Caenorhabditis elegans: one gene and its partner. The protein of the gene in region 1 purifies or fractionates together with the protein of each later gene. This does not show direct contact. Each region holds a gene or a part of one and is shown on either strand. Other genes may lie near its edges.

Region 1 (3,922 bases):
AATGCGGTGCCCGAAGTTTTGCTGAAATTTTGAGAAATTTTATAACTTTGTCCAGAGTAGAGATATCAAGTTATTATCAACTGACAAATTAATAGTCTTGATGAGATCTGCATTTTGTCTTTTGATAACTATTTCGTAACTCCACTACAAACATAGTTAAAGCAACCGACACCTCACAGGAGATAATTGAAATTTAAGGCCTGTGAGATGTCGGCCGCTATAACTTTGTCCAGAGTGGAGATATCAGGTTACGTCAATTGACAAAATGCTAACCTTATTTCGGTGCGTATTTTGTTTATTGCCACCTTTTGTCGAACTCCACTCTTCATAGAGTTACAGTGGCCGATACCTCATGAGTTGACTAGGCAACTGAGGCCTGTGAGATGTCGGCCGCTATAACTTTGTCCAGAGTAGAGATATCAGGTTAGTATCAACTGACAAATTGATAGTCTTGATGAGATCTGCATTTTGTTTCTTGACAACTTTTGTCTAACTCCACTCCAAACAAGATTAAAGCAACCGACACCTCACAGGGGATTTTTGAAAATTGAGACCAGTGAGATGTCGGCTGCTATAACTTTGTCCAGAGTCGAGATTTCATAATAGTGTCAATTGACAAAATTATAACCTTATTTAGGTGTGCATTTTGACTCTCGACACATTTTGCCTAACTCCAGTCTGACCAGAGTTTGAGCGCCCGACACCTCATGGGTTGACAATTAGTACTCACCACTGAAATTTAAAATGCCCAATCTTATAAACCCCGACATCAGTGTATTCCAGACCATCAGGAATTCCAAAAACCCATTCCAGTTGACTACTCTCTCCAATCAATTTAATCTTCGGGTATTGAGAGTCAAAATTGACAAAAATTGATTTAACAGGAATACTCGCAATTCCAAGAGAACGTTTGATTTGATTAGAGGAAAATGATAACTGGAATCTGCAAATTTTCGGGGGGTTTTTCGGGTTTTTTTTTCTGAAAATTTCTTACATTTCTTTCAAGGTCAAGTGTTTATAGATCTCATTCAGGCAGACATATCCCAGATGGTGAAATGGGAACTCGTCTCCCATAGTATCTGAAATAAACATTTGGCTTGATCTCCAGGAATCGCAGGATTTTGGAAAAAATACATGACGTCACGTCATCGCAAATCTGCCGCGAGTTTTGTAGATCATACTTCATATGGAATATATGATTTTCCATTTTTCAAAAAATTTTGAAATCCCGGAAAAATAGTGACATAGACGTGAATAAAGAGATGGCGTGGCAATACTAGGAAATCGATTAAAACTGCACGTATTATATTTGTTTTTTTTCTCTTTTTCTCTTCAGCTCTCAGCATCTCTCTCTCTATCGCTATACGTATCACTATGGTAACAAAGAGGCTTTTCCTATTTTCTTTCTTGCTATTTTCTTAACTTTCGCTTAGCTTTTGGCTTTATAGTTTACAGAAAATCGATTTTTTTCAAATTTCTTGATTTTCTATGCAGAAATTGGTTTAGTAATTCGAAACCTCGTCCGATAAATGATTTATAAGTGAACGTATACTAGAAATTGTATATGTCCACGAGAAAGTGCGTTATTAAACGCGCGGGTCTTGCCACGATCGAAACTTTAGCAGCTACCGTACTCGCGCGTACGGTGGTTTTTAAATTTCATCGATTCACAACACTTTAGCAACGAAATGCCTGCGTCTTCTCTAGGCCACTTTTTTGCAATGTTTCCGCCGCCCGGTTAGCTCAGTCGGTAGAGCACCAGACTCTTAATCTGGTTGTCGCGGGTTCGAGCCCCGCATTGGGCTTATGTTTTTTATTTTTTTTAAATAAACACAACTCAACGTTTTATTCGTCCACCACCACTCCTTTACTCTAAACCCCAGCTGTCAGTTTCTACTGGAAGAGGGGTAACATGTACTTAGACTCCAACTACAAAACGTCCTGCGTCTCTCTTCTCTTTTGGTTCATTTTCTCAGCACTCTCTCATCCCAACACACCCTCTCGCACAACACGCCAGTCATTTAGAAACACGCTTTACATCAACTTCATGTACTTTTCACTTTACATCGAATTTTATGTTCTGAAAATTGATTAATTTAAACTTAAAAATTACCAGGATGGAAGCAGAGCCGTTGGAAACGGAGCAAGATGAATGGCGAAAAGAAAGAATGCGAGTTTTGGACGAGTGGTGTGAGGTACGTATTTTTAAAATTATTTTTCAAAAGTGTTTCACGTTTTTAATAGATTTTCTAAAGTTTAATTTTAATTTTTAAATTTTAAATACGAAAAATCATAGAAATTTTAATGTTTCGCTTAAAAATCGATATCAGCGAAAGCTTTTGAATATTTTTTGAGTTTTTGCGAAACAAATTTTTCCCAAAAAAATTCTAGAATTTTGTAAATAAACCAAGAAACAAATAAATCAATTTATCCTACTGTAACCTTAAAGGCGCATGCACTGAAAATGTGGATGGGTCTAACAGCGAAAAATTAATTTTTGACGAATATTGTGTATGCGCCTTTAAATTTACAGTAGGAAAATTAGAGATTAAATTTTTTGAAAGTTTAATTTCAAAAAACTAAAAAAAACTTTTAAACACTCGAATTTTCGTACTGTAAACTTAAAGGCGCATACACAGAAAATGTGGATGGGTATCACAGTGGAAAATGTATTTTATACAAACATTGTGTATGCGCCTTTAAATTTACTGTAGGAAAATTAGAAAATAAATTTTTAGAAGCCTGATGGCAGAAAAAAAGAAAAAAACTAGAATTTCCTTGAAATCTGGAGATTTTTTTGTGAAATTTAAATTTTCCAGATCGAGCTAAAAGGCGCAGACGCTCTCAAAATGGATGTAACCCGTGAGCCAGGCTCCCCCACAGTTGCCGTCGCCCCAGAAACTTCTCTTCAAGACCTCTACCCCCTTCTAATTGCCACGTCATCGTCCAACGCACCACCAAGTGCCACGCCCACCGATGACGTCACAGATCCAGAAGTACAAGTAGTTTCCCGGGAATCAATCGATAATCGATCAACATTCAATCGGATAATTGACGTTTGTCTGTGCAGGCCTGTAAAATCACAAATGGGCCCGAAAGCCTATACGGATAAAACGCTAATTTTAAAACTCGCTCAAATACCCTATGATCATGAAAACGGAACACACTGGCTTCTCCTCTCGGACTACTTTAACAATGTTTCAAGATCCCTGATGACGTCATCAGAATACTCTCACGTCACTAATCCGTCACGTGTTGGCGCGCATTGGGTTACTGTAGGCTTTCAGTCGGCGACACCGCACACGGATTTTCGAGGTTGCGGAGTTCTTGGCCTACTTCAAATGCACACTTTTACGCAGAGAGTACCGGCGAATTTACTTCGAGCAATTGTACTTCTTGCCACTACTGAACCGAATGTTAGTTTTTTATTGGGATTTTTGAAAAAAGTTGTAATAGAGCGCGCTTGCAATTTTGACAGTTTCAATTCGGAAAATTTGCAATTTTTATCAAAAATACGGTGTCCGGTCTCGAAACGACGAATTTGTGTTAAATGAGAAATGGTGTGCGCCTTTAAATAGTACTATAGTTTCAAACTTTTGTTTCAGCAGAATTTTCGCGAATTTTATGTGTTTTTATTGTTACATTTGAGTTTTTTCAATAAAGAATTTTTTATTATCGAAAAACTATTTAAAAAAACGATTAAAATTTTGCAGTAACGAAAGTTTGAAACTACAGTACTTTTTAAAGGCGGACACCCTTTCGTATTTAACAAAAAATTGTCGTGTCGAGACCAGATACCGTATTTTTGGCAAAAAAATGTTTCAATGCAATCGCGCTCCGTGCACTTTTTTAAAAAACCAATAGAAAATTTTCCAGGATTTCCCACTTGCCGTTGTTTCAATCAATATTACGAGTATTTTAT
Region 2 (3,922 bases), 7.6 Mb from region 1:
GTTTTTCATTTTTTTGGAAAATGTCATACATTTATTGTAAATCGCCTGATGTAGTAAAAATCTGTTATTGGTCATTGTTTTTTATCACAAATCTTCATTTTCAGGGTCAGGATCGGTCACAGTTCAAAGATTGAGAATCTTCTTCTTGAAATGAGCAGAATCTGCATACGGCCAGATCTTCTTCGCCATTTGCATCTTTGTCGCCACCTTGTAATCATTCGGAGCTCTCTTCTCACTGATCGACAGAGCCGTGAACATCTCCTCAACACCGCCCTTCCCAAGCTCCCACTCGAATCGGCCAAAGAACGATCCACGGACTCTCTTGAAACCGGCAAAGCACTCGCTCCACAGGCCGAAATAATCCGGGCGGCTCTTGTATTCCAGTGTCTCCAGGTACTTGTGAATATTCGCAAATTCCTTGGGACACCCTTTCAACAAAGTTTCCATGGAGCATGCAATCTTCGCGTCCATAATCTCCTTCTCATCGGTCAGTCGGCGCCACGGGAGCCCACAATGAAGCTCGATGAGCATGTAGAGCCACGACCAGAGATCATCGACGCGTCCGATTGTGAACGTTCATGCTGCAGTATCGAGGAGTTCCACGGAAGAGTTGCTCGCCGGCTCGAGCTCTGCGGAGTGCGGCCTCTCCGTTCTCTCGTTTGGCGGTGAATTGGCGGACCATGCCTGAACAAAGTGTGGTGTGATTTTTCAGCCAAAAATACGGTTTCGGGTCTCGACACGACGAACTTGTGTGTCGGGTGCGACAAGGCTTTTAAGATTACTTTAAATCAGGGGTGTGCGGCAAATCTCAAAATTTGCCGAGCTCGGCAAACTCGGAAAAATTTGATACATTTTGATGTTTTTTGGAGCACCAAAACTACTGAATTCTTAACACTCATCTGGTTTCTGAATAAGTTCAGTGTAGTATGTCTGCTTAAGCATCAAAATAACTCAATTTTGTGTCATTTTACTAAATTTTTGGCGAAAAAATCAATGGTTTTAGTCAAAATTGCACTGTCAATTTTTTGACGTGTGCGGCAAATTTCGAAATTTGCCGAGCTCGGCAAACGGCAAATTCGGCATATTCGGCAAATTTGCCGCACACCCCTGCTTTAAATCCCAGTTTTTCATAATCTACGCTTTTTTCGAGAAGAAAAGCAACAGAGAGAAAAACTGAAAGTTACAGTACTCATTTAAAGGCACACACCGTTTCGCCTTGAACAAAATATTGTCGTGTCGAGACCCGATACCGTAGTTTTAAAGCGAAAACACCTTCAAAAAAATTACCATAGTCAATAAGATAGACGTTTTTAGCGTCACTCCCATGAACTCCGGTCACACAATTTCCCGGCTTAATATCCCGATGAGTGAATCCCACTTCATGAATCTGTTTGATAGCGAACAAAGTGGCCATCGCGAGACGAAGAGTCGTCTGCTCACAGAATCTCGGAGTGTTCGCATCCCGTTTATGAGCCATCAGATCCTTCCCAAGAAGTGTCATCACGATGAAACAATACGATGTTCGATCGCCAGCATCCATCAATCTTGCACAAAACGGCAGTGGAGCCAGTGATTTGAGCACGTGAGCCTCCAGCTTCAGAATACCTCCGTCACTCACGTCCCCCTCGACCTTCATTGCGGCGTACGTCTGGAAGCGGGTCAGGTCTCGGACTTTGAACACTGCACCCATACCACCTTCGCCGAGTTTTTCAACGATTTTCCAACGCTTTGCGATTATCTGAAATTGAGGGAAATTGTGAATTTCCTGCTTCACAGAAACTCACTTTTCCTTCTTTGATCGCTTGAATTTCTTCCATACTGATTCTGATCACGAAATCGATTGGAACTGATTTGCTAATAGAGAAATGAATCCTTTTGGAATTTTGAAATACATTTTTTCAAAATTCAATTTTTTTAATTAAAAAAAGTTGATTTTTATATATTTTTCACGTTAAAAGTTCAAAGCGCAATCAAAACTAAAATAAAATGAATGCATATAAAACACATTTTTTATTGAAAAAAGTAAGATCTATAAAATGTACTGGATACCCCAGTTTTTTTTTCAAATTTATTAATCAGATCAAGGGTAGGCGGCAATTGCCGTTTTGCCGGTTTGCCGATTTGCCGGAAATTTTCACATTTAATGTATTACTATTATAATTAAAATTCCATGTGCTTATTCCTAATTTTCCCACTAACCTGATTTCCGGTCCAACGTTTCTGCTTGAACGCCTCTGAGCCCGGGGGTGCTCCACAGGTCTCATTTTGCTCCGAGCCGCCCGTTACTAATGCCGAATCTACTGGAAAAAGAGCATTTCAAGCGTAAGTACTCTTTACTATGGAACTTTTGAGTTTTCGGCAACTGGGAAATGAAAACAAATTGTCGATTAAAAATTATTTGGAGTTATCACAAATTTGGCATTTTAGAAATCTCAGATTTTTGCACAAGTTTTTTTTTAATTTTTGGATTTTTTGCAACTTGAAAATTTAAAAGTTGGCAAAAAACTTCGTGAATAAACGTTTTAAAAGTTTCTGAAACTGGAAGTTTTGGCAGAAGCTCGGTAAACCAAAATTTGCCGATATTCAAACTGTAATAGCAAAAATCTTGAAATTTTTAAGATTTTCGACATGTCTACATCTTGAAAATTTCAAAATTCCAACAATTTTAAAAAAACCCAAAATTTTTCAGTCCGAAAGCACACCCGCTACCTGACAATCCACCGAGTCGTTGAGCAGAAAAGTTGGCATCAACTTGCCTACGAGGACCGGCTCCGGCGGGAAAGCCGAAAAATCCCAAAAATCTGTCGTAAACAATTCCTAAAATGGCACGTTGAGCAACAGGAGGCCAAGAAAAAATTCCGGCGGCTCCGCGAAAAAAATCGCGATGAGAGCATTTATGTGGCCAAGTTATGGTACTACGTGCTCAAGAAGCATCCATTGAAGCCACGTGTTGAATGGAGTTTTCAGAGGGTTCATAAGTAAGTCAAAGTATTCGAGAGGAGTACAAAATCGAGTTTTCCAGGTTGAGCCCGAAAAACGAGAGAATTGCTCAAGAACTGGAGGAGCTCATGGATTGTGCGGAAAGATACGCGTTGATAGAAAACGTGGCAGATGGGTATCAGAAAAGAGTAAAAGATGAGCTCGCAAGGTTGAATAGTGAGTTGACATAGTGGTTTTTGCTACATGGCCTAGAAAACGCAAAACTCGGCCAGCAATTTATCTTTGATTTATCATGTCACATCTTTCTGAAACATTTTGAACATTGACTTGCGATTGTTTTAAGGGCGATGGCCGAGTTTTTTATATCGCGGCCACGTAGAACCAATTGCTCTGAAAGGCTTGAAGCTGTTGAACTTTATTTTCAGAAATCGAAAAATACCATCATCACGTCAAAAACAACCGTGAAATTCTTCTTCGATCCCAGTCATTAGCCGCAATGAAAATTCGCATATTTTTCGAAAATCGGTATTTAAAATTCTAAAATTCTAAAATTTATCGGCAACTCGAAAAATCAATTTCAGAAAAGGATTAATATTCGAAGTCAACGAGCTAATTGACCCGGAAGTCGGAAATATTCCAATCAAAAAATTCCGAGAGGTTACTCTGACGAAGGTCCTGGAATTCTCACAGGAAATCAATATGAAGTGAGTTGCTAGTAAGGCTCCCATGGGCCTGACGCCTGCTTGAAATCTACCCGCCTCACTCCGGCCTTTCGCCTATTTTCTGCATTTTGACGTGAATTTTCTGATTCCTATCAATTTTTGAAAATCAAATGTTCTTGTGAACTTCAGCATAAGGCGCGTATTGAGGCGAGAGGCAGGCGTAGGTCGCCTTAAGGTCTGGCAGACAGGTGTTTTAAAACCTTCATGGAAGCTCTAGTTGCCAGGCATCGCCGAAAGTTGCACATTTTTCCAGGTTGCTC

What was found.
Region 2: the proteins of hecw-1 (region 1) and dhc-4 fractionate together in Caenorhabditis elegans (co-fractionation; one large-scale study listed by BioGRID). This does not show direct contact.

Annotation. Positions count from the first base shown.
Region 1 is NC_003281.10:3,387,805-3,391,726, forward strand, and holds the start of hecw-1 (E3 ubiquitin-protein ligase hecw-1), read right to left. Parts: upstream 2,118-3,922; 5' UTR 2,114-2,117; exon of another isoform or gene 2,090-2,113; intron 1,825-2,089; exon of another isoform or gene 1,728-1,824; intron 1,080-1,727; 5' UTR 1,075-1,079; coding exon 995-1,074; intron 944-994; coding exon 731-943; intron 22-730; coding exon 1-21. Other genes in the region: elmd-1 (ELMO domain-containing protein C56G7.3), read left to right, coding at 2,118-2,195, 2,820-3,416, 3,877-3,922.
Region 2 is NC_003281.10:10,967,656-10,971,577, forward strand, and holds the start of dhc-4 (Dynein heavy chain linker domain-containing protein), read left to right. Parts: upstream 1-2,288; coding exon 2,289-2,322; intron 2,323-2,689; coding exon 2,690-2,978; intron 2,979-3,022; coding exon 3,023-3,156; intron 3,157-3,365; coding exon 3,366-3,465; intron 3,466-3,521; coding exon 3,522-3,644; intron 3,645-3,915; coding exon 3,916-3,922.